2 linked regions of the Elephas maximus indicus genome follow. The protein of the gene in region 2 purifies or fractionates together with the protein of the main gene of each other region. This does not show direct contact. Links are inferred from orthologs where the notes say so. Each region holds a gene or a part of one and is shown on either strand. Other genes may lie near its edges.

Region 1 (3,745 bases), on a different chromosome or scaffold from region 2:
AGACAGAGGGAAGACAGCGCGGCAGCACCTGAGGCAAGGAGGAACCTTCCTGGGCCAAGCTAGGAAAGAGCACCACCGGCTCACACGGAGCCCCCATTATCGGTGCTCGGGCTATGAGTTAACTCCGGGGCAAGTATACCAAAGGTCTGTGTGATGAGTTGACCCTTCTCAATCAGTGCCCGTATTCCCCTCTCCCAAAATGTTGTCCAACTTCACTCAGGACACCATTTCCTCATGTCTTTGCACCGTCCCACCCGCTCTCTTGATTTAATCAGCCCCCTATCTAGATGGTAAGAGTGAAAGCGAAAGCGCCTTAGAGCAGCTTCCCCTTGACGCTTCCAGCTAAGAGCCGAAGCAGCCCCCCTTCACAAGCCCCGTCCCTTCGAGCCCCCCCCCAGGTGACCTCCTACGGAGTAGAGACACCCTATGTTCTTTGCGGGGTGCAAGCACTGCTGCAACAAGCCATTTCCCCACACTCATATTAGTCTTCACGTTCGCTTCTCGGCGCTTTCAGGGTCTCCTGCCGATCTACCTCCTTCGTCCCTCTGCTAGCCCTCAAGCCCAGAATCATTACCCCGGTGTGGACTTCTCCGGCTCCGGGGACGTCCCCGGCTGGTGCTCCCGCGCGCAGCATCCCGGCCTGGTGTCGCGCTCTGAGCTGCCTGGGGCGGCGGTTCCTGACCGCGGGCAGTGTGCGGCGCGTTGCCCACAGCCCCGCCCCTTCCTTATGCCCGCCAGGGGGCGCCGGTGTCCTCCCGGGGAGTCTTGGCGTGGGATGCTAACCTGTGCGGGGCAGATTTGCCCGGAGACAGGTGACGAAAGAGCCGAGCTCGGAAGCGAGGGTGGGAAAGTCAGGGCCAGGGGATCCCGTGGGACAAGTCGGGAGGGGAAGGAACGGACTGCCTGAAGACGCAGCACTAGGGCTACGCCCCAGAGCCCCAGAATTGATTTCAGCGCCAGCTCCTGAAATCGTCTGGGCGGGCCGCGTTTGGAAGTGGGCGGACCGAGCGAGCCCGCGGCCGCTTTCGATTTCTCTTTCCGCTAAGCGGCTGCTCTTCTGGCCCGCGCTCCCAGGCTCAGCCGGCTCCCCGGGCCTTCCGGGAGCCCCGCCCCGGCGCGTCCCTACTCCCTCCTCCAGGCCGCAGCCCCAGCGCCGACTCGCTCGCAGACTCGGACAGAGCCGGACCCAGCGGGGACATCGGAGAACCCAGGCCGGGACGGCACGCAGGACAGGGCCTGCGCGCCAATGGCCACCTCGGGGCCCCCTGCTCCTGGAGGGTGCCTCCGCCTCCCCCGAGCTTGCTGCGCGTGGCTGGGGGCGACGCTGCTGCTTCTCGGGGACTGGGTGCTGCTCCGGCGAGCGCTGCCCGGCATAGTCTCCTTGCTGGTGCCCGTGGTGCCGCCGCTGCTCCGGGTCTGGGCGGTGGGTTTGGGCCGCTGGGCAGTGCTGTGGCTTGGGGCCCGCGGGGTCCTCAGGGCCACGGTCGACTCCAAGAGCGAAAGCGTACGAGGCCAGGGCTGGCTGGCTGTTTTGGAGCCACTGGCGGCAGCGTTGGGCTTGGCCCTGCCGGGACTTGCCTCGTTTCGAGAACTGAGATCGTGGGGCGTCCCCAGGAACATTGAGAGCACCAAACTGCTTCACTGGGCAGGTCGCCCCGACGCCTTCGTCCTCAGCTACGCCGCGGCGCTGCCCGCAGCCATTCTGTGGCACAAATTCGAGAGCTTATGGGTGCTCGGCGGACAGGGGGGCTCTGGAGAGGTGGTGACTCGACTACTACGCTGCATAGGCCCTGAGATACGCCGTTACCCTCTCGTTTTGGGCCTGTTGATCTTTTCCTGTCTCGGTAAGGGGGAAGAGGGTAGGACATAGGGGACTGAACAGGAAATCAAGGGTAATGGTCAGTGAGGCAGGGTAGTGTCCGTTCCGGGAAATGTGGATGAGGCGGAAGGCGACCCAGCCTGGGTCTTGGGGAGACCACTCCGGTGTAGAGGAAAGAGCACTGGGCAGGGTGGGAGAGAGGAGTCATGGACTGCAGTCCTGCCGCAGGCATTAATTCGCTGGGCCACGCCGAGCAGCATTCTCATCTCTAACATGAGGCTTCCTGTTTAAACCGCTGAAAGGTCTTGGGTTGTGAGTTGCAGGGCCTCCTATTCAGGTGTGGAATTCTGGCCCCAGTGTCTTCTTTCTGCCCCTGCCCTCAAGGATAATGGTGAGGGTGGAAGAGGACGTGATGGGGGGCAGTCTGATTGGAGGTGATATGTTTAGACTTAATATTTGTGACTGACCGAGTTCTCTTTCAACCCAGGGGAGATGGCCATACCATTCTTCACCGGCCGCCTTGCTGACTGGATTCTGCAAGATGGGGCAGCTCCTGGCTTCACCAGAAACATAACTTTCATGTCCCTTCTCACCATAGCCAGGTCTGGGGGCTGAGGATGGAAGGCTGAGACTGGTGCACTCTAGAGAAATAAGGAAGTGGAATTGGAGCTGTGCTCCAAAGTTCACTTCTGTGTGGATACCTGCGACCTTTTCTCTCCATCCTCCAGCACTCATCCTGGCCCTTTTTTTCCGTTTCTCTCTCTAGTGCAGTGCTGGAATTCCTGGGTGACGGGCTCTATAACAGTACCATGGGCCGCATGCACAGCCGCCTGCAGGGAGACGTATTTCAGGCTGTCCTCCGCCAAGAGACAGAGTTTTTCCAACAGAACCAAACAGGTTTGTCACAAAACTCTTTCATTACAGATCCATATACTTTTTATATCCCCATACATCCTTTACTTATAATATTGATATCTCTGTCTCTTGTTTTTACACACACATTGTTGTTCTTGGTATACCTCTAGTCTGAACACAAATTATTCTTTTTACCTTCCGTAAAACATAGTTTTTCCATTCAGGATTTTTCCATAAATCTATCCCTGTATATCATTAAATAAAAACCATGGAATTTCAAACCTGGAAATTTTGTGATCATGGAGTCCTAATGCCTAATTTTCCAGAGAAGGAAACTGAGGTCTAGGCCCAAAATGCTGAAAATTGCATGTCACCTAATGGATTGAGAGAAGCTTGGGGGAAGAACCCCAGTCTTTTGATTCCTAGTACATTGCTGGTTACAGGGGCACCATCTGTTCTTCTCCACCTCCATTATACAACCAGCTTAAACTCTTTCTGCCTATGTGTATATCATAAAATCATGGGACATACAAATTCTTTAAGGAACAGAAATCTTTTACAGAAAGAAAAATTTACATGGGCATCAAATTCCTCATAGTTAAAATGATGGTCTTTAGCTAGATTTCTCAGCTCTAATACTTATTTCTCCCTGCAGTGAGATTCCCAAATGTCCCCATACTCCCATATGATCTGTTTGCCCCAGCCTCCTTAAAACACCATGTTGACACCCGTACTCCTGGCACCCTGGATTGTTATTAGTCCCTCTCATCACTTGGAACCCTTCTTATTCATACCACACTTTTCTCCCCAATCTCTGGCAGGTGCCATCACATCTCGGGTAACAGATGACACATCCACCCTGAGTGATTCTCTGAGTGAGAAGCTGAACCTGTTGATGTGGTACCTGGTACGGGGGCTGTGTCTCTTGGGGCTCATGCTCTGGGAGTCAGTGTCCCTCACCATGGTCACCCTGGTCAACCTGCCTCTGCTCTTCCTTCTGCCTGAGAAGCTGGGAAAATGGCACCAGGTATGTTCAGGAAGTTGGCTTAACCAACATGGACGCTTTGTCTC
Region 2 (3,745 bases):
ATTTGGAATCGACTTGACAGCAACGGTTTGTTTTCCTATAAGCTGTGTAGCTTTAAGATGTGAATACTTGAAACATACTGCTGAAGATTCTCTAATTTCTTTAAAAAACAGAATTCTCCTAATAATTTTCACAGCTCAGAGGTAATCTTAATTTAAAAGTACATCTGTTGCACTAGCAAAGTATTCAACCAGCATTTTTCTGACAAAGTTCGACAGTAAACTATATATAGTTTACAACTATGTTTAGGCGTTTTTATTACTTTCTAGAGTTACTATGACCACCAATTCTTCTGTTTGTCTAATTCTATAACTCTTCAAAGTGGTTTTATGCTCATCATCTGCATCTGTCCCTTTCAATAGCCCCGTAATGGTAAGGTATCTGAGGAAACAGCTCATTCCCATTTCAAAGATGTGTAAACCAAGATAGTAAATAAGCTAGTTACAGAGCTGGGCCCAGAAATTATGCTTACCAACTGTCATTTCACCCTCTCAAGCTATCTTGCAGGGCAAAGTGAACCCTAACTTAAAGGTTCAACAGTTTGATCGTCAAAGCTGCAGCAATGACTTCTGTCAAAATGTTTACTCCTTGTGGTCCTTGTAAGAAAACGTGATAGTTGAACTGCTGCATTGTGATAGTAGGGTGGGGGAGGGACAATGACTCCCATTTTCGGAGTTTAGAAAATCTGTTTGTTATGTGACATTCACTCCAATACAAAGCTCACTCTTGCCTTCTCATAATCCAGTTACCTGGCTTGTTATCTTGTGCAAAGGAGAACTCTCACAGCTCTTTACCTCTACTCTTAATATAACTATACCAGATGTAAAAGATGGCCCTCAAACATGGCTGTAGGAAAACTGAGATGCAGAATTATTTAAAGATCAATACAATGATTCCACTTAAAATCTACTTATTAAAAAATTAAGGAAAATCTTCCACTCCCTAAATAAGTTTAACTGTGGTTCACCTTTGCCCTCCCAAGCTTTTAATATTCAGCTCAGTTTAACTTCCCTCAACCAACACTCACTTGTGTCATGCCCAGCAGTTAATTCACAAGGTCCAATTTCTTCCCCCCCATGCCATAAAGGTGACTTCAGATCCTAAGAAACAGGACTTAGCCAACTCAAAGACTAGGATGTCAGTGTAGTAAACCAACAACTTTCAGACTCTTGTCCTATTTTATATACATCTTAATTTAATCCTCAAAACTCCATCACACGACCCCATTCCCTGCCTTCCAGTTGATTCCGACTCAGAGCAACCCTGTAGGACAGAGTAAAACTGCCCCATAAGGTTTTCAAGACTGCAAATCTTTAGGGAAGCAGACTGCCACATCTTTCTCCCACAGAGCAGCTCCTGAGTTTGAACTGCCAACCTTTTGGTTAGCAGCCAAGCTCTTAACCACTGCACCACCAGTGCTCCTCCAAAACTCCATCAGTTATTATATTATTTTTTGAGAACTGGGACACAAAAAAAGCTAAATAAACTGTCCAAGTTCACGTAACTAGCAAATAGTCCAGGAAGGACTTGAAGCAGAGCCCTATATTTAACCACTACAAGGAGACTGCGTAGCCCTCTAATCCCAACCTGATCATCAGACTAATCGTATGACCTTGGGCCGGTCATTTCGTGTTCTGGGCCTCAGTTTCCTCCACCGAAAAACAAGCTGCACTCGGAGTTTTCAGGTCCTTTCCTGCTTTTAATGTCCTGTGAATCTCCGAATGGATTACTTCCCATCCCCAAATAGCTGCTGCAAACTTTTTCAACCAACGCATGTTCTAGTACTTTCCACTTACTCTTCGGGGTTCCAGCGTCTAGTCTTTGCTTTAAGGTCTTATTTTCAAATATCCTGAACCGGTAACGCCAATAGTAAATATTCTCTATTTTTTATTGCTAAGGGTACTGACTAGGCCCGATCCCGCTTCAGACTTTACCCGGTTACTCCAGTCCACCTCGCGGCTTTCCAGGTAGCCAGGAAGAGGCCTAAGAAAGCCCTAGAAGCAGAGCCATACGAAGAATTTAGCTTTCCCAAAGGTCAAGAGAGGACCTAGGGCACCTGCCACGCCTCCCGACCCCCGCGGAGGGGCCTGGGTCTGGCTGCCCAAATGAAGCGGCCCACGTCCAGGCCTCGCTGCTCACGGCCAACGTATGTGCCGGGACCCGGGCCCTTGAAACCCAGCTCAACCCCTCGGCCCTGACCACGCCCGGCCCCTCGGCCGCGGCGCAGCGATCATGGGCCACCTGGGGTCCCCACGGGCCCGGGGGTGCGCACAAACCTCCCTTCTCACCTAGAGCCTCTTGGGGACCGCCGGCGGCTCCCGCGCCTCCTCCCGCCCGCACACCTGACCCCACGCTGCAGTGGAGACAGCGGCGGCGGCTGCCCGACCGTCACGTGCGGCAAAACGAAGAGGCCTCGGCCACCGCTGCTGCCGCCGAGCGAGCCCCACCGCACGAAGCCCGGCCCTGCGTCCGCCCCTCGTTCTTGAGTGGCTGCGAACGAAGGCAAATCCCGCCCCACTGCGCAAGCTTCGAAACTCGGTTGGTCAGTGTGGCCGTCCCTCTATGCCTCTTCCCATACGCCCCCTAGGGCTATTCTTCGTGGAGTGTGGGGACTGGCTGGAAGTAAGGCAGGAAGTGGCTGCTGGTTGGGTGGGAGGTGAGGGGGCCGGCCCCGACGTTATCGGCAACCGAAAGCGCGCGAGTCCTGGGGCGGGATCGGCGGGCCGGCGTTGTCCCGCCCAGTTACCCGGCCGTGTTAGTGGGCACGCTGACGGGTGCTTAAGCCGAATCACTGTGGTGTGGGCACCCGAGCAGCCGGCAGAAAGAGTGGGTGGTCCTGTCGGCCATCAGGAAGGGCCAGCCCCTACGCAGCGAGCGTAGGGCCCCGACCGTGCGCAGCCAGAACCCGGCACGGACGCCTTGGCCCGGCCTAAGTCGACTGCACACACAGCCCTTTCTAACTGGCCCCGGTTCCTGCAGAGTCATTGCTCTGAGCCCTGGATACTGCGGCTGGCTCATTGCCTAACACAAAATGCAATTCAGGATAATATGTATAATCCAAGGTTATATCAAACTTTCAATTTGTCATGTTTTCTGACATAAGGGCAAGCGATACACTGACGACATGCTTGAGAGAAAAGAGTGTTGCAATGGAAACATTTAAAATACACAATTTTTGTAACCGGCTTTTAGCACATCTTCAATTTTAAATGTGCCGAGAACCTCAGAAGATGGAAGCAGCTCGGAGGTTTTTCTAGACTTTGAGAGGTTCCGGTCTCTCCACCGATTGTTGCTCACCCAAAGGCTGAATCCTAGCGTGGAAGAGCTAGAAATAGCGGGTGTATCACGTATCCTGGAAGCCAGCTATATTCCCTCCTGTCACCTGAAAAGGGAAGAGAGAAGTCAGGGCTTGGTGTTTGCATAAATTTTAGTATTCAACTCTCAGCCACCAAATTTGCGAAAGAGGATTTTGTGTTAAGGGCAAAGTAATGTCCTGGATGTCACATAATCCAAACATAGTTTATAATGTAGAGGAACCACTTATATGAGCATAGGCGCTACTTCAGCAAAGGTAAGTGCTAAAAAGAAAAGAAAAGAAAAGATGGTGGTACTAAAGTGAATTTAATGGGATTTGATTACGGAGAAAGTGCATCCATCTAGGATGGACAGGGAAGAGGAAGACTGGAGCTGGACCTGGTATGATATGCAGAGTTTCTAAAGGTATAGAGTGGGAGAAAAGCTTCTTTA

Evidence for each region. Proteins that work in one complex are often made in the same cells at the same time.
Region 1: the proteins of CANX (region 2) and TAP1 purify together in Homo sapiens (affinity purification with mass spectrometry; 3 studies listed by BioGRID and IntAct, with this or other methods). This does not show direct contact. The link is inferred for Elephas maximus indicus from reciprocal best matches to the Homo sapiens genes CANX and TAP1.

Annotation. Positions count from the first base shown.
Region 1 is NC_064819.1:95,538,667-95,542,411, reverse strand, and holds the start of TAP1 (antigen peptide transporter 1), read left to right. Parts: upstream 1-922; 5' UTR 923-1,246; coding exon 1,247-1,844; intron 1,845-2,306; coding exon 2,307-2,421; intron 2,422-2,585; coding exon 2,586-2,716; intron 2,717-3,495; coding exon 3,496-3,701; intron 3,702-3,745. Other genes in the region: PSMB9 (proteasome subunit beta type-9), read right to left, coding at 575-634. UniProt on the Homo sapiens protein: ABC transporter associated with antigen processing. In complex with TAP2 mediates unidirectional translocation of peptide antigens from cytosol to endoplasmic reticulum (ER) for loading onto MHC class I (MHCI) molecules.
Region 2 is NC_064820.1:201,847,165-201,850,909, reverse strand, and holds the start of CANX (calnexin), read right to left. Parts: upstream 2,464-3,745; 5' UTR 2,287-2,463; intron 1-2,286. UniProt on the Homo sapiens protein: Calcium-binding protein that interacts with newly synthesized monoglucosylated glycoproteins in the endoplasmic reticulum. It may act in assisting protein assembly and/or in the retention within the ER of unassembled protein subunits.